Linked DNA regions of Oryctolagus cuniculus. The protein of the gene in region 2 interacts with the protein of the main gene of each other region in a pairwise test. Links are inferred from orthologs where the notes say so. Each region holds a gene or a part of one and is shown on either strand. Other genes may lie near its edges.

Evidence for each region. The genes of interacting proteins can lie anywhere in the genome.
Region 1: the proteins of STAM2 (region 2) and LITAF interact in a two-hybrid assay, tested with the Homo sapiens proteins (4 studies listed by BioGRID and IntAct). The two-hybrid records come from large-scale screens. The link is inferred for Oryctolagus cuniculus from reciprocal best matches to the Homo sapiens genes STAM2 and LITAF.

Annotation. Positions count from the first base shown.
Region 1 is NC_091450.1:25,058,717-25,069,128, reverse strand, and holds the start of LITAF (lipopolysaccharide-induced tumor necrosis factor-alpha factor), read right to left. Parts: upstream 5,781-10,412; 5' UTR 5,628-5,780; intron 4,798-5,627; 5' UTR 4,648-4,797; intron 1-4,647.
Region 2 is NC_091434.1:89,703,092-89,713,414, forward strand, and holds the start of STAM2 (signal transducing adapter molecule 2), read left to right. Parts: upstream 1-3,087; 5' UTR 3,088-3,357; coding exon 3,358-3,613; intron 3,614-10,323.

The DNA.
Region 1 (10,412 bases), on a different chromosome or scaffold from region 2:
CCCACGCCGGTCGCGTGAGTGACCGAAATCTGCTGCGAAGGGGAGGCCAGTGACTCCCACTTTCCAGGAAGGGAAACTGAGGCCCAGAGACGTCCACTGGCCTTCCCAAGGTGGCAGAGCTGAGCCCAGAGCCCTCAGCTGAGGGGGCTTCCGTGTCCCCTGCTGGATGCGAAGCCCCCAGCCCCGGCCCTAGGCTGTGCTGAGGCCCAGCTGTGGATAACAGCCGCTGATGGACCGACCTGCCAAAGCGACCGTGACTAACTCGCTTCATCTCCACTGCGGGGTCAGCTGCCCGTGCGGGAGGCCTTGAGGGACTTGACCAGATCCCTGGCCACGCCCCCCCCCCCCAGCCTCGTCCCCTGCTGCTGTGTGAAAGGGAGTTGGGGTCAATCCCCGCCCCTTCATGGCTGTCCCAAGGCGGGAGGGCGTGGCTTTGCTGGGCCGAGCCCGGTCTCTTCACCACCTTCACGGGGTTAATAACCGGCATGGCGTGCTCAGTAAACACCAGCGTGCCACGCCGAGCACCAGGCAAACCGGACGGCACCCGTGTATCTCATGAAATCCTCCTGGCACCCGGGGGCAGCAGCTATTCAAATCCCCATTACAGACGAGAAGACTGAGCCCACGGGCGGGCCCATGGGAGGCACAGTCAGAACTCAAAACCCAGTGTGCAGTGTGCAGTATACGCCAGAAGCCTCCACGGAATAGCCGGCCCCACAGCCTCCAAGACACGGCCGTCAGCCTAGGAGCGCTTCTACGATTATGTGACCTATCCCTACCTCACACTGTAGACAAAAACCAGCTCCAAATGACACCACTTCCATCTTCAGCAGATTGCACACGGAAATATCCTTTAGACTTCCATGTTGGGAAAGATGACAAATTATGCACACACAGAGCTTCAGGACACTGAGTGGAAAATGGGGGGGGGCATGCTGTGGTGTAGCAGGTTAATCCACCACCTGCGACGCTGGGACCTCCAGGTGGGCCGTTCTTAGCCGTGGACAAGCACGAATGCATGGAGAAGCCAAGACCCACCAGAGTCACACAGCGTGAGTATGGTTCTCTTTGCCGTGGTTTGAGCTGTAGCCACAAAATGACACATCGAAATCCTAACCCCTACCTGAAGATGCGCTCTTATTTAGAAACAAGGTTCAGTCTCTATGAGGTCACCCTGGATGAGGGCCCCTACATCCTTGTGTCCTTGAATAAGAGGGGAGGGCACACAGGGGGCGATGCCCATGAAGACGGAGGCAGAGACCCGGGCGACGTAAAGCCGAGGACGCCCAGAGGCTGGGGAGGGGCGTGGACCAGGTCCCAGCCGGTGCACTCGGGGGCGCAGGTGCCTGTCCACACTTGGGTTTCAGGCTTCCGGCCTCGGGGACCAGGAGAGAACATCCGGCTTGTGGTCATTTGTTACAGTGGTCCTAGTGATACGGGGGAAGCAGGCGGCACTCGGGTAGGAATACGTGAGCTGGAAGATTTTCCCCTAACTTCCATGCAGCCCTGCACTGTCACTCCACCCACCTACCTGCCAATCCAGCACACCCAGCATCCCATGATGCACCCGGGGCCTTGTCTGGGACCAGGAAGGAGGAGCCGATGCCACAGAACTCCCACAAAGCCTCATGCCCAGACTCCACCCTATTTGCATACTCAATTAAGGGACCACCCCCTACCCCACAAAGGCTGTGGGCGTGGTCCTTCTGGCTTCCCAGGCTGTTGGTCCCTCCCCGCCCCCTCCCAGGCTCTGTCTTGGTGGGCAGCTCTCTGGCCCACTCAGGACGGTGCCTGTCCGTGTGGGGTGGCTGCACTCACGCGTGCGTGTGTATTCACTCTCTCACTTCAAATAAACGCTGCCCCCGCCTCTGCACCTCACGGGTGCTCTGCTTTCTTAACTGTACGGGGAAAGAACTTGGAATAAACCCTGAGACACTCGCTGCCTTTTCCAACACTGGGACGCTCATAACCCTTTTCATGCAGTTAGTAGGCAGAAACTAAAGGAAAACACCCTTTCTAGGACGGAGGCGTGGTGAGGAGGTACAAAAAGTGGGCCGGGGCTCAGGGCCACAGGGACCCCAGGCGGGGACGGAACAGTGGGATGGGGACCTCGAGGTTGGATGAGGGTCTTTCTCAGGTACCTGGTACCTACTGCGTGACCTACGGAACTGCAGCAGGGGCCAGCGTGGTGCATAGCAGGTTAGGTGCTGCCTGCCACACCAGCATCCCATAGGCGTGCCGGTTCAAGTCCCGGCTGCCCCGCTTCCAATCCAGCTCCCTGCTAATGGCCTGGGAAAGCAGCAGAAGATGCCCCAAGTGCTTGGGCCCCTGCACCCACGTGGGAGACCCAGATGAAGCTCCTGGCTCCTGGCTTTGGCCTGGCCCAGCCCCGGCCATTGTGGCCATTTGCAGAGTGAGACACCACATGGAAGCTCTTTCTGTCTCTCCCTCTCTTTCAAATAAATCTTAACATACAATTAAATAAATAAAAAGGCTCCCTGCCCAGCGCCAGCTCATCGCCTGCCCCTTGCGTGCCCGTGAACTTCCCTGGCTCCAGGCTGAGGCTACATTCCTGGCAGCCGGCACCCATCTCGGAGGCCCTCCCCGCCCCACGCCGGCCGGCTGCACCCAGCACTCACACCTCGCACACACCATTCGCCAGTCCCTCCTCTCACTGACACCACGACCCCCAGGAACGAAGCCCAGAGCCGACCCAGCCCCCACTCAACCGCAGCAATGCAGACGGACTTCCACAGGGGCTCCTGGGAGGGCTCTGTCGCAGACCCCCCGTGGGATGGGCCTGGGTCCCCTGCATCTGCCACTGTTCCCACCCCAGCTCTGTGATGACAAGTTGTATACTGTAACGCACTTGCCTCTTAAGAAGCAGATTTTAAAAGGAAGAGGCACCTTGTCACTGTCCCGAATGGAAAGGCAACACCTGGGGCGGTGCTGTGGCAGAGCAGGTTAAAGCCCTGGCCTGAAATGCCGGCATCCTATATGGGCGCCGGTTTGAGTCCCTGCTGCTCCACTTCCCATCCGGCTCTCTGCTGTGGCCTGAGAAAGCAGTGGAAGATGGCCCAAGGCCTTGGGTCCCTGCACCTGCGTGGGAGACCCGGAAGAAACTCCTGGCTCCTGGCTTTGGATCGGTGCAGCTCCGGCTGTTGCGGCCATTTGGGGAGTGAACCAGTGGATGGAAGACCTCTCTCTCTCTCTCTGTAACTCTTTCAAATAAATAAATAAATCTTTAAAAAAAAAAAAAAAGGCAACACTTGCCATGAACAGGAGAAAACCGACGCACAAGCGCGCCAAATACAACGCCGGGACACTCTGGCTCCACAGCGCAGTCCTGGAGCCAGGAGGGCTGAGCCAGCCTGGGGAGCCGTGACAGCCACGTTAGCTGGGAGCGAGGTGGGAGGGGCTACCCCCTGGAAAGAGCAGGGCGGGGCCTCCCACCGGCCCCTGCTCAGCGCGTGCTCCTCGCCCTTCAGGGGGTTCCTCTCTGGCCCCAGGGTTCCTTTTGCTTTTAGGCCTGGAAATCCCTGGAGCAGATGCCTGGGGGCTGTGGCTGGGCTGCAGGGGGCTCCCCTAAGGCTGCCTGCGTCTGCTTCACCCCCCTCCCCCCACAAGCCCCTCCAGCACTGGGAGGGGGGGGAGTGGGCACAGGGCCAGGCTGGCACAGGGCAGGGCCGACTGGGCCCCGGCAGGCCCGAGGGAGCAGGGGTGAGCTCATCCCCCGCCCTTAATTATCGTCTTGGCTAATGAGCAGCTGGGAACCTGCAGCCCGGCCCACAGGGAGGACCCTGGGGACCCTGGGCCAGATGTCACCCGGAGGCACCGGGAGGAAACTGCTCTGGGGGAAGGGACTTACACTTCCTGCCTCCTCCCAGCCAGGGATGACAGCGGGGCCGGGGCCGGGGCAGGCAGGACACTGGAGGGGCTCCAACCCCGGGCTGGGCACTGCTGTTCTGTGGCCTTCAGCAAACGACTCGGGCCCTCGCTGTGTTAAGTGTGGGGAACACTGCCCCGCCCTGGCCCCGCCTGGGGTGCTCGTGAGACCTGCAGACCACAGCCAGGGTCTGCTCTACGGCACCCTCCCCGGGTGCACACGCACCCTGGGGTGCCTCGGCTCCTCTTCCGTAGAATGGGTGTGAAATGTCTGTCCAGTTCCCAGCAAATGCCACCGGTACAATTCACAGTAACTTAGCATTACTGGAACATTCTAGACAAGAGGGGCTCAGAGGGCTGCTGCAGGTCCCCCATCCTCAGCCCACCCCCGAGGTGGGTTTCATGAGACCCACCCTGAAGACGAGGCACCCAAGGCTCTGGGGGTGCAGCAACGTGCCGGGGAAGTTCAAGTTCACGGCCCAACCCGTTCAACCCTAGCACTGACGGCACCAGCGAGTGGCCAGGAGGCCGTCCTCTGTGCCAAGCACTCGATGTGCTCACACCAGAGAAAACAGCACAGAGAGGTCAGGCTGCTTTTCCAAAGCCACACAGCATAAACGGCTGGACTCGAACCCTGGCAGTCTGCCAACTTCCATTACCACTTTCCCCCGAGAATCTGTTCCCCCAAGTGTCCCTGCCTGCCTGGCATCGCGACGCCAGCTCTGGCTCTGGGGTTCCAAGCCTGCCCTGCCCAGCTCTTACCACTAATGATGCTCTGCTGGCTGGAGGCTGGGACCGCAAAGGCCGCTGGAACTGGCTTTGTGGGAAGAACCTGTTTCCTGCCACTCTGGACTCCCAGGTGTGACGGACAGCCAGAGCACAGGGCAGCCAGCCTGTGTGCCTGGCGCTCCTCTGCAGAAAAGACAGAGAATGGAGCAGACCCAACCCAGGGAAAAGCTCATCACCACCCCCAACTCCCAAGGCCCTCCCTTGCTCTGCCCCCCAAATGTTTAATTTCACAAGGGGCAGGAGAGATGGGGAGGTGGGGCGGGGGGGGGGGGTTAGGAAAGCCCCTGCCAAGGAAGGGCCATTCAAGCTGAGATCAATGAAGTGGAGAAGTGGCACGGGCAGGAGCAAGTGGCATGGCAAAGGCACTGGGGCAGGAACAGCCTGGTGCTCTGACGGCGCGGGAGGAGAGCCCAGGCCGTGCAGGAGGGAGCCAGGGATGCCCGACGCCCTGGCCTGCAAGCTTCTGCCAGAGACAGGCAAAGAAGCTACCGGCGGACAAGCCGTCCAGCTCCCAGGAGCCCCAGGTCCACCAGCCCCTCTGGGCTCACCGGCCTTGCAGCACCCACCCCTCGAACGGGCCTCACTGGCCACGGCGAGCGCCCACTTGCAGCGACCAGCTGCTATGCCCACACTAACTGGGGCCTCTCCCAGCCGGGGGCGCAGGCCTGGAACCAAACCCTGGGATCCCTCCGCACCTCGCAGCGGTAAGGTGGGCTAGCTCCGTGGGGGTCTGTCTTGAGCTAAGCGTACTCACTGGTAGGACAGGGCTGGGCATCTGGTGGGCAGGGCGCCTGCTATTACGGTCAAAATAAGCAGGATGACACACTGTCAAGGGGGTGGAACTCTCTGGCTCCCGCTGCGCTGAGGCCTCCGGGGCAGCAGGCATGTGGCCGAGGTTCGATAAACCTTACGAATGAGTAAACGACCAGCTGGCTCCAGTCCCAAGCTCTTACCTGCCGGGCGCCTCAGTTTCCCCGTCGGTAAGCGCGCGGGAAGAGGACAGCCCGTGGGGCTGGGGTGAGGCTGGCGGAGGCACGGCGCTGACGGCGCGGCCCCAACCCACCAGCGCCCCCCGCCCCGCCCGCCGTCCCGCCAGCTGCGCGGAGCCCCCGCCCACGCCGGCCGCCCCGGCCCCGGCCCCGAGCGCACGTGACTCCGCCCCGGCCCGGCCCGCCCCGCCGTCCCAGCGCAGGCGCCTATTGGCCACGCCGGAGGTCCCCGCCCCCGTCCGGGGCGGAGCCTGAGGCGCCCCGCCCGCCGCAGAGCGGGGTTCCTGCGTCCCGACGGTGCGCGGCGGCCGGACCGGGCTGGCGGGCTGGCGGGCGGAGCCGGGCCCGCGGGGCTGCTGCGGGGCGACCGGGCCGGGGCTGCGGGCTGCGCCATGGTGAGCGGGGCCGGGCGGGCTGGGCGGTGCGCCAGGCGGGGGCTTGAGGGAGGGGAAGGGGCGGCCCCGGACGGGGTGGGGGCGCGCGCGCGGGCGCGCGGGGCGGCGGTGCCCCGGGCCTGGGTGGGAGGTGGTCTTCGCGGCGAGGGAGGGGCGGCCCGGGCCGGGGCGCGGCTGGCGGGAGGGAGGGTCTGTCTGTTCCGGGGGCCGCGCCCGCGGCGGGGGCTCTTTGTCCGCTGCGCTGCGGAGAGGTCGGGACAAAGGAGGCGGCGGGGGGCGGAGGCCGCCTCGCGGGGAGCGGTGCTCCAGCCCCCTGTGCACGCCCCCCGCCCAGGCCCGGGCCGGCCTCCGGGGCTCCCTGGGACACTTCGAGGATTTTCAAAATTGCTTCCAAGGCTTGGGTCCTGGCAGCCCCCAGCGCGGTCAGGCGGATTGCGGCGACGGAATCAGGCGGGAGTCAGGGGTCCGGGCGACGTCCGGCGCCTGGCGCGCGGGTGGGGAAACTGAGGCGGGCGCGGCTCCGTCGGCGGTGACGGCGTGGCGTGGGCAGGACTGGGTCTCGTGGCCGCCGACCCCCGCCCCAAGGCGGGCCGGCTCCAGCCGCCTCCAGCTGTCGCCCCCTCCCCAGCTGTCGCCCCCCCCGGCCGAGCCCCTGCGTCCCTGGCACCGGGCTTGCTGCTCCGTGCGGCGCGGGGACGCCGGCGGCCCCGCCAGGGTTAATGAGAGGGTGCGTGGAGCGCCTGGCACCCAGCCTGCTCGCCGCCCGCGCTCGCTGGCGTATGGGTGCTTGTCATCCTGAGTCCCGAGGGCGACCGCCCTGGGGTCAGCTGGTCCCAGGCCCCTCGGGCACCGGGGAGAGGAGCTGGGGGTGGGTGGGTGAAGACTGTGACAGTTTAGGGTCACGATTGGGAGCTGGAGTTCCGGCTGCAGGCCACCTGGGTGATTGGGTCTGTGCGCACCTACTTTTGAGCTGTGTGACCTTGGGTAGCTGACTTGACTTCTCTGAGCCTTAGCGCCTCCGTCTGCCACCCGCGGGGTGGTTTGGACGTGGGAAGGAGACATCTGCCCAAGGCATTAGTGCTGGCACACGGCGACTGCGCCAACTTTTCTCCAGCTTCCCCTGTTATTCCCAGAGTTGTTCAGCCTCTCAGGCGGCAGGTGATTCACAGGGCGGGGGCACGGGACTGGGGCCCGGGCCACAGGAGCCCCTGGCTGACCTTGGGACAGCCCCTGAGGTCTGCGGGCTCCAGCTTCCTCTTCTGCTGCGGGAAACCTGGGGCTTCCTCCGGGAGGGGCAGGGGTGAACCAGCACTGGCCCGAGAGCCACGGGGCTGCCTTGGGCTCCCCCTGCTTCTGATCCTGGCTCGTGGACAGCCGCGGCTGCGCGTGATGCGTCCTTGTGCCCAGTGCCACAGAGCCGGTGCGGCACAGGGCAGATCTTCCACCTGCGTCCTGGCGGTGACCCGCGGAGCCCTGGGCTCCCCGCAGCCCTGTTTTCCCAAGGGACCTGGGCAGGAGCCGCTCTGGTTTGTGAACGGGGACCCCTGGGGAGGCAGAGCCTGGTGGTTTGGCGGCCTTGGCAGGTGGCTTGTTAGGGCATGAGGGGCATGGCTCCTGGGGACAGTTCTGGAGGTGCGTGGTCCCCAGAGAGCCAGCAAGCCTCCTGGCTGCCTTGGTGAGCCCCGGGAGCTGCAGGCTGGTGCCCCGCTGAGCCCAGCAACCTGGTGATGTGCCCCAGTCAGCGACGACGAGGAGGAGGAGAGGAGGAGGCAGCGAGTCCCTGGGGAAGGGGCTGTTTGTGGCACCGGGCCTGGGCCCGCGCTCTGTGTCTTTCTGGTCCTGAGCACCCACTGCCCTCCTGTGGCACCCCACGGAGGCGTGGCTGGGGACATGCGACCTTAGAGGCCCCGGGCCCTTCCGCTCACTCACCCACCTCATAAGGTGGCCGGTGAGGCCAGGGGCTCCACACTGAGAAACTGAGGCCAGCCCGGAGCAGCTTGGTGGGGTCCCGACGTCACCCCGAGCGCGGGCAGGGCTCAGGGGGGAGAGGACTCGGGCCACCCAGCTGCTGGCTGTGCCCACTCGGCCTCCGACATGTGCGGTGGGTGAAGACTTAGTTGCAAGATCCCAAGTCAAGGCAGAGGGAGCGGCCCCCGGCCCAGGTGGGGCAGGCCTGCAGGAAGGCAGGGGCCCGCTGGTGGGCAGTGCTGGGCTCGGGGTCACACGCAGCTCCCCTGGCTGCTCTGGGCTCTCATTGGCCTCCCCGGGCCTGGGAGACACGGGCAGGGAGCAGAGGGCTGCGGCCTGGGTGGCGGTCCAGCGGCTTAGGGCCGGGCCGGCCGGTGCTCACTGGGGCTGCTCTGCCTTGCTGCTGTCACCCCAGGGGACACGGCCTGCCCTGTGCTCCAGCCAGTCTCTGGTGGTGTCCGGGGTGCTGCTGGGACCCAGGGGTCAGGTGTGTGGAGTCGGAGGGGACAGGTAGTATGGAGGTTATCCAGGTTTCGGGGGAACTGGTGGCCTTGGCTTTGAACGCCAGGCTTTGTCCTACAGAGGGAGCCTGTGAGCGGGTGCCGCAGAGCAGGTGCCCCTGGCTGGGGTCCGCCCGGCCCCCGGCCTTCGAAGGCCGCTCCGCTGGGTGGGGCCCTGCTTCTGGGTTCCCGTCTCCTGCTCTTTGTGCCTCAGTTTCCCCTTCTGCGAAGTGGAGCGGCTGGGGCAGCAGGGCTCCCCTAGGGCTGCTGGGCGGCCGCGTGCTTGTGGGTGAAGTGGCCGTGACAGCTCGGAGGCGGCCCACGTGGCCCATGGGCCGTCCTGGGGGCTTCGAGGGGGTCCCAGGAAAGGTCCAGCCGGACAAAGGGGCTGCCCTCAGCCGCCTTCGGGCTCTGCTGCTCTGCCCTGCCCCCGGCGTCCGTGCACACAGCCGAGGCCTCCCACAGTCCACTGGCACCTGAACTTGGCCCGCTGCCCGGCCTCCTGCTGGCCCCTGGCTTTCTGGAGTCTGCAAAGTGGGCGTGGGGACCCCCGATTGGGATTCCTGTGTGAGGAGGGTGTTCTCTGCTTCAACGCTGCACCCCGACTTGCAAACCTACTGTGTGCCGGCCAGGGCGGGGGGGATGGTGCCCACCTTCTGCGGACTCGGCGTCCACTGCAGGAGGGAGACGGCAGCCGGGGAAAGGCACCGTGTGTGTGTGTGTGTGCTGGGAGGGAACTGCAGGGAGTAAAGTCGGGAGGGCAGCCTGTAAGAGGCGCCTTCTGACACAGGTGTGAAGAATGGGAAAGAGCCCGGGAGGAGCCCTGCAGGCAGGGGCGCAGCGCAGGGGCCCAAGGCGGAGCCGGCGTGGCAGGACCGGGCGTGCAGTAGCCAGAGAGGCGCTTGGTCTTGTCCCGAGGCCGGGGAGGGACAGGAGCAGAAGTTTGTAAAGATCAGTTCTCAGGGGGTAGTTGCAGGGTGAAGGAAGGAACAAACGTGCCCACACATGGGCGGGCGGAGGGGGCGCCCCGGGCCGGGGCCTGGTGCCCCTGCCTGCCTGGGAGCCGCAGCCAGGGTTGTTTGGCCATCACGGCTCCCACAGTCTCCGCGTGGCCCCAGGACCACAGGTTTCCCCCTGGATCTGTGGGTCCCGCCTGGGCTCCGCAGCTGGCTTCGGCCCCCGGCTGCCCCTCCCTCCAGTGCCATTGTTCGAATTTCCCACTTCCTGCCCCCGAAACGCCCCCAGCCCCCAACACACACACTTCCCCTTCCGAATTGATACTGCCTTGTCTTCCTGTCCAGAGCCCCATGGGAGGGCAGGTGGGAGGGCAGGCGCCCCAGCAGGCCGAAGCGAGCTGAGGTCAAGGGGCAGGAACAGTGAGACAGTTCCCTGGAGGGGGAAGCCCTGTCCCGTGAGGCTGTGCCCTGAGGTGGGGGCGGGGGGTGAGCAGGAGCACCCCCACGCGCTGACCTGGGCAGGTGGCCGTGCGTGTTCCAGGAGCTGGAGCTGCAACCCAGGCCGAGCCCTGTACACTGTGCTGCCCATCCCCCTCCCCACCGCACATGGCTCTGGGCGTGGGCTCAGAGGCCCCCAGGGTTGTGAACTGCCTGGTCAGTGGAGGGGGACACGCGTGGGGTGCGGTGGGCCCGCCCAGGAGGACAGGGAGCCTGTTGAGTGGGACGTGCGGCTTGGTCCCTGCAGAGGGCAACGAAGCGGCAGACCGAGGGTCCGGGCCCCTCCTGCCAGGGCCTCCCTGCCGAGGTGGGCAGCACCGCCTGGCCCCCGGACAGGCGAGCCCGGCCTCAGAACCCCGGTCGAGTGAGGGTTGTTTCTAAGGCAGGCTGGCCTTGATCAAGGACGCAGCAGGTTTGGTCCCGCCACCGAGG
Region 2 (10,323 bases):
CCACCTGAGGTAAGTGGCTTTAGATGCCATCTGGCTGCTCAGAGAGTCCTGGCTACTCTTCTTCCAATTCAGCTTCCTGGTCTCTCACGTGGGTGCAGGGGCCCAAGGACTTGGACCATCCATCCTCTGCTGCTGTCCCAGGCACATTAGCAGGGAGCTGGATCAGAAGGGAGCAGCTAGGACTCAAACCGGCACCCATGAGGATGCTGGTGCCACAGGCGGGAGCTTTAACCAGCTGTGCCACAGCACCTGCACCACACTAGCAACATTTCTAAAGATTTATTTTAGGCCGGCGCCACGGCTCAGTAGGCTAATCCTCCACCTGTGGCGCCGGCACCCCAGGTTCTAGTCCCGGTTGGGGCGCCGGATTCTGTCCCGGTTGCCCCTCTTCCAGTCCAGCTCTCTGCTATGGCCTGGGAGTGCAGTGGAGGATGGCTCAAGTGCTTGGGCCCTGCACCCCATGGGAGACCAGGAGAAGCACCTGGCTCCTGGCTTCGACCAGCGGCTGCAGCGGCCATTGGAAGGTGAACCAACGATAAAGGAAGACCTTTCTCTCTGTCTCTCTCACTGTCCACTCTGCCTGTCAAAATAAATAAATAAATAAAATAAAAAAGGTGGAGATTTATTTTATTTATTTAAAAAGTACAGTTACAGGGAGAGAGAGAGGGATAGAGAGCGATAGAGCTATCTTCCATTCACTGGTTCACCCCCCAGATGGCTGCAATGGCTGGGTCTGGGCCAGGACAAAGCCAGAAGCCAAGAGCTTCTTTCAGGTCTCCCATGTGGGTTCATGCGCTCAAGCATTTGAACCATCTTTCACTGCTTTTCCGGATGCAACTAGCAACATTTCAGGTGATCGAGTGTCACATACGGCTAGCAGCCATCTGAAGAGTGCAAATATAAAACAAAAATGTAAACACACCTATCATTGCAAAGAAGCTGTATTGTAGGAGCTGGTGTTAAGGCATAATGGGTAAAGCTGCTGCCTGCAACGTGGCATCCCATGTGGGTCCTCTTGTGATCCAGCTGCTATTGGCCTGGGAAAATCAGTAGAAGATGGCCCAAAGTGCTTGGGCCCCTGCACCCACATAGGCGATTTGGATAAAGCTCCCGACTCCTGGCTTCAACCTGGCCCAGCTCTGGCTGTTGGGGTAATTTGGGGAGTGTACGAGCAGATAGAAGACCTCTCTCTCTCTGTCTCTCCTTGTCTGTAACTCTGACTTTCAAACCAATGAATAAATCTAGGAGGAGGAGGAGGAGGAGGAGGGGAAGGGGGGAAGACCACCCAAAGACAACAGAGGAGATACAAACAAGGAAATCAGAGAGAAAATTCTGGTCTCTGATACCTACAGCTACAGGGAATGGTGAACACAGCCTGAGCCCTGGGTGGATATAGGTAAAACCTCACAGTAAATGACTGTTTAATTCCAATGTATCTCGTCCAACTCTCAGTAAAACACTACAAGGCATACTGAAAGACAAAAACGGTTTGAAGAGGCAGAGCAAGCAACAGAACTAGACTCAGATACAGCAAGAATGTTAGAATTATCACACCATGACGTTGATTTATGTGTTAGGGGCTCAAATGGAAAAATGGAAAAATTAATAATATAAACAGAGAAATAGAAATAAGAAAGAATCCAAAGAAAATACTGTAAATACAAAACACTGCAGCAGAAATGAAGAATGCCCTAATGGGCTCCTCAGCAGAAACTACAGGGCCAAAGAATCTGAATCTGAAAATCTAAAATGCAAAGAAAAGAAAAAAGAATTTAAAATAATGGAGTATGTAAGAACCGAGGGAGAATTACAAAAAGCATAATGGAAATATCAAAAGAAAAAGAACAAAAGAAATATCTGAAGCAACGACTGTGAATTTCCCAAAATTAATGATACTACAGATCCAACGACAGATACAACGCCGAACAGTACGAATTCCAAAAAACTCTATACATAAGTACATCCCAATCAATATACAGAAGATCAAAGGCAAAGAGAAAATCTGAAAGAAGCCCGAGATGGGGAAAACACCTTACTACCTACAGGGGAGTAAGGATAAGAACTACAAGTGGGTTCAGAAACCATGGAGGCACGAAGAGAAAAAGTGAACTATTTAAAGTGTACAATGAAAAAAAAAAAACCACCAATCTAGAATTCTCTATCTATTGAAATTAACCTTTAAAAGTAACGAAGAAACAGGCTTTCTCTGGCACACGAAATTCGAAGGAATCTGGCGACAGTGGAATTATCTTACAATAAATGTGAACAGAAGTGCTCAGGGAGAAGGAACACGACATAGGGCCGAAATGTGGATCTACATCTTCAAAACGAAAAGCAGTAAAAGAACAGGTGAAAATAAGATAAAATCTTTTTCCTTATAAAATTTTTCCTTAATTGAATAGCTAACATGCTAGCTATTAGTCCAATTAATAGTCACTGTGAGAGAGAGGAAACATTAGGACAAAAGTGAAGTCAAGGGGCTGGGGCTGTGGCATAGTGGATAAAGAGGCCAACCTGTGAGATAAACACAAGTTCGTTGTCTCATGAGGGGAGACAGACAACCTAGGAGGCAATTATGTCCTCGGGAAAACCATGACGGAGGGCGACGAGGGGCAGGGAAGGTGTGAGTCCAAGGGGTGCTGACATTCCAGTGCCGGGCCGGATGCGACGGCCATCTGTTTGCTAATTACTAGTCCCACACGGTCGCCTACGACCTCGTACATAGGCACTGCCCCTGTGAAGAGTAGGGGGTTTGCCTCATCCGCCTTCGGATTCCCGGAGTGAGCACTGCTTTTACGGCGAGGAGGCGGCGGGAGGCGAAAGGTACGAGTCCCTGCAGAGCCCTAAGCGCCGCGACCACCGCTTCCCATGGGCGGCTGTTCTCGGGGGATTTGGGGCGCAGCGCCCTAGAGGTGGGCGAGCAGAGCTAAGCCAGGCCTCGGGCAGACTCGCAAAGCCACCGCGCCGCCAGCGGCTCCGTTTCCAGGGCTACCGCACTGTGACGCGAACGCAGCCACGGGCGCTCAGCGGCCGCCGGCGACCAGACCTGCAGCCCTAGAACTCCATCAGCAAGAAGAACCGGGCAGTTACGATCCGCGCCCCCAACTCCGCCCGCCCCACGAAAAACCCGGGCCCGCCGCGCCCCCTGCCGCGCCGCCGGTCGCATTGCAGCTTCCGGACCTCCTGCGTTTCTCATCAGCAACTTCCGTTTCCGAAGGTCCCGGCTCCGTGGCTTGCCGAGGTCCTCGCCACGGAAAGGTGGCCGCGCCAAACGCCTGAGCCCTGCGAAGGCCTGGGACCAGGACTGCTGCCTCCTCTAGGTGGGCGGCTGCGACAGGGGCGCTGAGAGGATGCCCGATGCCGGCGGGACGTCGTCCCAAAAGCGGAGTCGGGGGCGGAGCGCCCGCTGGCAGCCCGTCAGGCAGGCAGGCGTCAAGCCGGCCCGCGGGCGGAAGAACGGGGCGGGCGTCCGGAGCGGAGTCGTCTAGGAAGCCGCGGTCCCGGGTCAGCCGGCGGGGAGGAGCTGCTGAGACCCAGCCAGACCGCAGGGACGCGGACCCGGACGCCGGCGAGATGCCACTGTTCACCGCCAACCCCTTCGAGCAGGACGTGGGTGAGTGCTGCGCCGGGTCCTGGGCGGCTGTAGGTGCAGCCGGAAAGTGGGCGGCGGCGACTCTGACTGCGGACTGGGAAGGGGCGGTGCCGCCGCCTCTGCGACGGAATGTTTTGGGGGCGATCTCGGCGCGTCGCAGGGGGTCTAGGGAGTACTTCCTGCCTGCGTAGGTTGGAGATCCCTAAAGGGCGGTGCCCCTCGCCGGGCGCCGGGAATACGGCCGAGCTGGAGTTGGAGTCTGGACTGATTGCATACTTAGGGAGTTGTCGCGAACTTTCTGCCCCTCTTGGAGCCTGTTGATGAGCCCTCCTGCCTTGGAAGAGGCGGCGGCTGTGGATACCATACTGTCTAGGGCAGCTCGGCGCTGGAGAGGTCGGCTGCCCCGTGTCGAATGGGGAGAGCTCACGTACACGCGCGTGCAAGCGCTGATGGCACACATTCAGAATTCATGGACGGTTGTACAGGTGCCGTCCTACATTCAGAATTCACGTACGGTTGTACAGGTGCCGTCCCTTACCTTCGATCGCGCAGATGCGACACGTCCTGTCTTGGGAGATGAAAAGGAAAACTCTGGCATCTCAGAAAAGGCTAGAACATCTCGCATTTTCTGCTTGAAAACTTGTCTGGTAAAAGTAGACTGCGTTGTTCTGCCCCCTGCACTGTTCCAGAGCTTCCCCTTAGTGGCTCCTGAGCCCCTGCAGGATTTAGTGGGTCACACTTTAGCATCACTTCGGTAAGAGAGTTACCACTGTTGAGATGAAAAGTACTGTTGTTCATAGATGATCTCGTGGACAGTGCCGTCATCCAAAGCTTCAGGCGCTTGCTTGTCAGCTCATGTGTGACTGGATTCAGTATCCAAAGGCAACTTAAGGATAAAAAGCTAATTCTACAAGTGGATGGAATTAGAGAAAGTGGAATGAAAGGCTAACGAGCTTACATTGGCCTTAAACCTGTATCAGGCAAGAAAAATTTGACATGTTGCATTTTCATGTCTTAACACTTTTTAATGTGAAATAGTTAATAACAAAGCAACTCATTAGTTGACTTGAGATGTCTCCTGAAATGTTTCTTTACAGAGTGTTATCTTTTTTACCTACAGTCATGTGACACATAAGATGTTTTGTTCAATGAGGGACCACGTACATGATGAGGGGCTCTTACAAGGTTGTGTGTCCTAGTGATGTCGTTGTTGTCTTAGTTTGTGTAAGCACAGACTGTGGTGTTTGTACGGTGACATGGTTGCCTAACGATGCATTTCTCGGAGGCGGGTCCCATCACTAAGCATCACATGACTGGTCTTCACTCAGCAGGTATTTCTCACTGCTTGATCCTCAGTGTCACACCTGTGTTCACTGAGCAGACATGCATCGGGTATCTGCTGTGTATCAGGTATTGTGCTTAGTTCTGAGGATGCAACAGGTGAATACATGGGCTTCTTGCCTTCGGGCAATTCTCTCAGTCTAGTGGAGGACGTACACACGTAAGAAGACAGTTATAGTGTATTCATCAGTTTTCTGTTGCTGTAACAGCACACCCGAGACTGCGTAATTTATAACAGGAAGGGGTTTGTTTGGGTCACCAGTTTTGGAGGCAGGGAACTTCACCCTCTGTTCAGCTGCTGACCAGAGCCTGTGAACAGGGCAAGAATGAGTGTGCACCATCAGGAGAGAGGAAAAGGAGACCAAACTTCTGACCTATTCTTTTAGGAAAAAATGTTAATCCGTTCATGAGAGTGGAGCCCTTGGCCCAAAATGTCTCTCGAAGATGCCATCTTCTCTCAGCACTGTTGCATGGGGAGCCACGGTCAGATTACAGCACACAATGTGTTGATATACACAAAATGCCTTCCCCTCTCTGTTTAAAACAGTCATCTTCCCTGAGGAGACAAGGCCCGCAGGTAGGAGCTCTTGCTAGAAAGGTGCTGAAACTCTGCTCTCCCTCCCCCTCTGCTGACAGCACTTCTGCTAGCCAAAGCCCTGTCCCCAGTATCAATCAAAGTAAGGAGGACAGGATTTTGAGATGAAGGAGAGAGAACATTTAATCTGTCCACAGATGATAGGGACTCCTGCTGTGCTAGGGGTTTGGGGCTTATAAAGGGGCACAAGGAAGGAGGTGCTGGCATGGCACAAAATCATGAGAGAGCTGCGGGGCTTTGGTGTCAGGTGCCACAGCCGGTCACTAGAGGGATGACAGTGCATTCCCTCTCAGTTTCTGTGGTGCTCCTTTAGGTCCACAGGTGGTGAGATGAGCTCTAGCCTGGGAACCAGGCGCTGTGAGCCTGAGGACGTGGGCGGGCAGAAAGCCAGCAGTGCAGCCCTGAAGCATCAGCTTCCTGCCTTAACGTTTGAGTAGTATAGGTCGTCCACTTCACGTGATTTCATACTCGGCTGCACTTCTGCCACTCCCGTGTGCTGGTGTGTGTGATAACGATTATGTTATAGACAAGAGCCTTTTACAGTGAAACTTGTTTGGTAGGTGCGCATGCTCACTGGGGGTTGAGCAGTCTTTGTGACACCATTCACGTGAAAAAGAAGTGCTTTTCTCAGTGCCTGAGAAAAACTGACAGGTCAGGATGTCAGGAAGGCACTGAGGAGTCAATGGATGATAGGTGTTTCGTCAGGTGCATGCTGGCCAAAGGCTCAGAAGTAGGGAATTTTGGCAAGTTGCTGTCTTTTCTTAGAGTTAGACCTACAAGCTCTGAAAAGTATACTAGGTATAGCGCATTTGTGCTCTTGAAACATTCTAAATTGGATTTCTTCCAATTTGGATTAATTCTTTGTTGAATAAAATTTCTTTGAAGCTCTTCTAGGAGGAAGGGGGAACAGAAAATATTCTCATACCTCCCCTACCTCCTTGCCCTGGGGCCTGATTGTTAAAGGGGGTAATGGGGCCTGTGCTGTGGTACAGCTGGTAAAAGCCCTGGCCTGAAGCCATATGGGCGCCAACTGCTCCTCTCCAGCTCTCTGCTATGGCCTAGGAAAGCAGTGGAAGATGGCCCAAGTCCTTGGGCCCCTGCACCGGTGTGGGAGACCCGGAGGAAGCTCCTGGCTCCTGGCTTCGGATCAGCGCAGCTCCAGCCATTGCGGCCATCTAGGGAGTGAACCAGCGGATGGAAGACTGACCTCTCTGTCTCTACCTCTTTCTGTAACTCTTTCAAATAAAAATAAAATAAATCTTTTTTTTTTTTTTTTTTAAAGAGGTAAGCACTGGTCTCCTGCAGTGGAGCCTGGTTGGGGCAGCCATTCTTAAGAGAATGTAAAGGAGTAAGTGAAGCGTGGGGGGCGGAGCAACAGAGGAAGGTTAAGTGGTCAGTATTAGAAGAGGAGATGTCATTTCCTTATGTTGTCCCAACTTTTCCTGAGTCATGCCTCTGTTCTACATTGTAACTCCAGTTCTTTGCATTTCTTTTTTGCCCCCTTAATCAAGCCAGGCATATCTTTCTTTCCAGAAACTGCCTGTGTTGTTTACCGTTCATTTGTAAATGTTGGTCTTTTTGATAACCTTGATATCGCCTTTTTTTTTTTTTAAAGATGTATTTATTTATTTGAAAGTCAGAGTTATACAGAGGGAGGAGAGGCAGAGAGACAGAGAGGTCTTCCATGGGCTATTTCACTCCCAAGTTGGCTGCAAAGGCCGGAGCTGTGCTGATCCAAAGCCAGGAGCCAGCAGCTGCTTTCTGGGTCTCCTACATGGGTGCAGGGGCCTAAAGAAGTGGGCCATCTTCTACTGCTTTCCCACCCAGGCCATAGCCAAGAGCTGGATCGGAAGTGGAGCAGCCCACGACTCAAACTGGCACACATATGAGATGTTGGCACTGCGGGTGGTGGCTTTTACCTGCTATGCCACAGTGCAGGCCCCAGTACTACCTTCTTGTGTCTCAGGAAGCTGAACTCAAATTGTACCTCAACAAAACTCTTCTGATACAGCAAATTGAAGTGTGAACTTTTTTTTTTTTTTTTTTTTAAGATTTATTCGTCTACTTGATAAAGGCAGTTACAATGTGAGAGAGAGAGATAGCTCTTCCATCTGCTGGTTCATTCCCCAAAGGCCACGCCAGCCTGGTCTAGGCCAGACTAAAGCCAGGTGTCTGGCACTCCGTACTGGTACCCCTACGTTGGTATCAGGGACCCAAGCACCTGGGCCATCTTCTGCTGCTTTTCCAGGCACAATTAGCAGGGAGCTCACTGTTGAAATCTTTACTCAGTATAGAGTTGATCTTCTGTGTATAAACATAATTAAAAATAAATCTTCATGAAGAATGGGATGGGAGGAGGAGTAGGAGATGGGCTGGTTTGTGGGTGGGAGAGTAGGTATGGGGAGAAGAACCTCTATAATCCAAAAATTGTACTTTTGAAATTTATATTTATTAAGTAAAAGTTTTCTATTAAAAAAAAAAAGTGGAGCAGTCGGAACTCATGTGGAGCTTGTATGAGATGCCAGTGGCTTAACCTGCTGCACCACAGTGCCAGCCCAAACTTTGGTCTGTGAGGATACTTTTATTAGTGAAATTTGAATGTGTGCATTCCTGTGTCTGGCTTTTGTTGTGCACATATAGGGTGCCCCAAGTGATAAAGTTTTATGTGAAAGGTGAGAAAGCAAGCATGCACATGTGAGCATGGGTTGCCTTACGCAGAAAGAGACCTGTCGTGAGTGGGTAATGGGCCCAGAAGGAGAAGGGGGTAGAGTGGGGAGACAGAGTTGTACCCTAGCACTCCTCTAGTCCTGGTTTCTGGAGGGGAGAGGCAGCACCTCCCAGCACCTTTTATGAGGTTGGAGAGGAGAAGGTTGCCTCTACAGACATGAAGTCATCTGGGAGTTTTATGATACCTCCATAAAATTCCATGTGGGCCTTATATACGTATTTACATGATGAATTTCCCCCATAGGTCCCCTGTGAAAGGCATCCTAGGAAAGGCAGTGTTCTGATGGATGAGTAGGATAGAATAACATAGGGTGGGGGCTTGTAGCTTGCAGGTACTTCCAGATCCTAACTAGCAGGCTACCTATCTCATATCAGCCTTAGCCAATTTTTTTCTGTATTTTGCTTGTATGGTACTAAAAGTCCTAATAAGTTCAGGTGATTAATATTTTAAAGGTTTTTTGTTTTATTTGAAAAGCAGAATGACAGGGTTAGGGGAGGGGATCTCTTGTCCATTGGTTCACTCCTGGAAAGGACCACAAAACTCATTCTTGGGCAGGTTAAGCCTCTGCTGTCTTCTAGGCACACCAGCAGGAAACTGGATCTGAAACTGAGCACTCCAATTTGGGATGTTTCGTTGCAATGGTGGCCTAACTTGCTGCATCACAATACCATCCCCCAGAGAAACATTTATTCAGTAAGCTGTAATAAATCTTGGTATGAGCAGCAATAGGCTGAAGGCTTTGAGCTATAGATAATTACAAAATTTAATGAGTGTACTTTGTAATTTTTTAAACTATGAAACAGCAATATTTAAGGCCATAGTATAAGATACAGACTCCTGTTCCTACCATTTCCTATTTTGACAGACTTGATTGTTTCTAAAGAAGAAAACTATCAAAACACAGTTGAAATTTTGTTTTCTTGAAAGACAGTATTACGGGGTGGGGGGTGGGGTGGGGAGAGAGAGCGAAATCTTTCATTCACTAATTCACTCCCCAAATGGCTTCCAACAGCCAGGATTTTGCCAGGCTGGAGCCAGGAGCCAGGAATTCCATCTGGGTCTCCCACCCACACGGGTGCAAGGGCCAAGGACGTCGGCCATCTTCCACTGCTTTCCCAGGCCATAGCCGATAGCTAGATTGGAAGAGGAGCAGCTGGGACTCGAACCAGCACCCATATGGGATGACGGGGCTGGGGGGAGAAAGAAAAAGAAAGAATCTTCCATCTGCTTGTTCACTACCCAAAACCTCTGCAACAGCCCATGCTGGATCAGGCCGAAGCCAGGAACCAGGAGCCCATGGCCGGCGCCGCGGCTCACTAGGCTAATCCTCCGCCTTGCGGCGCCGGCACACCAGGTTCTAGTCCCGGTTGGGGTGCCGGATTCTGTCCCGGTTGCCCCTCTTCCAGGCCATCTCTCTGCTGTGGCCAGGGAGTGCAGTGGAGGATGGCCCAAGTGCTTGGGCCCTGCACCCCATGGGAGACCAGGATAAGCACCAGCTCCTGCCTTAAGATCAGCGCGGTGCGCCGGCCGCAGTGCAGCGGCCATTGGAGGGTGAACCAGGGGCAAAGGAAGACCTTTCTCTCTGTCTCTCTCACTGTCCACCCTGCCTGTCAAAAAAAAAAAAAAAAAAAAAAGAACCAGGAGCCCTGAACTCAGAATCTCCCACGTGGGCAACAGGAGCCCAAGCACCTGAGCCAATTCTGCTGCCTAGTAGGATGCATTAAGCAAAGCAGCCATGACTTGAACCGGCATCTCAGTGTGGGATGTTGGCGTCCCAAGTGGCAGTTTAACCTGCTCTACTACAATGCGTTCCTCACAAGAGGCATCTTAATCATTAGGCCAAGCATCTTCCCTTAGTATAATTTTTACATGAACATATAGAATGAAAAATAAATTCTTCAGTGAAAATTTTATTATATTTGAAAACTTGGCAAACATTTTCTTGGCCAGTAAATATTCCCATATGAAGAACTTGTTTTTAATTTTCATTTATAAAGTGAGAATTATAGTGATTTAGAATTTTACTTCAAATCATTTGAACAAAAAGGGAATTTTTGTTGTTTGTAA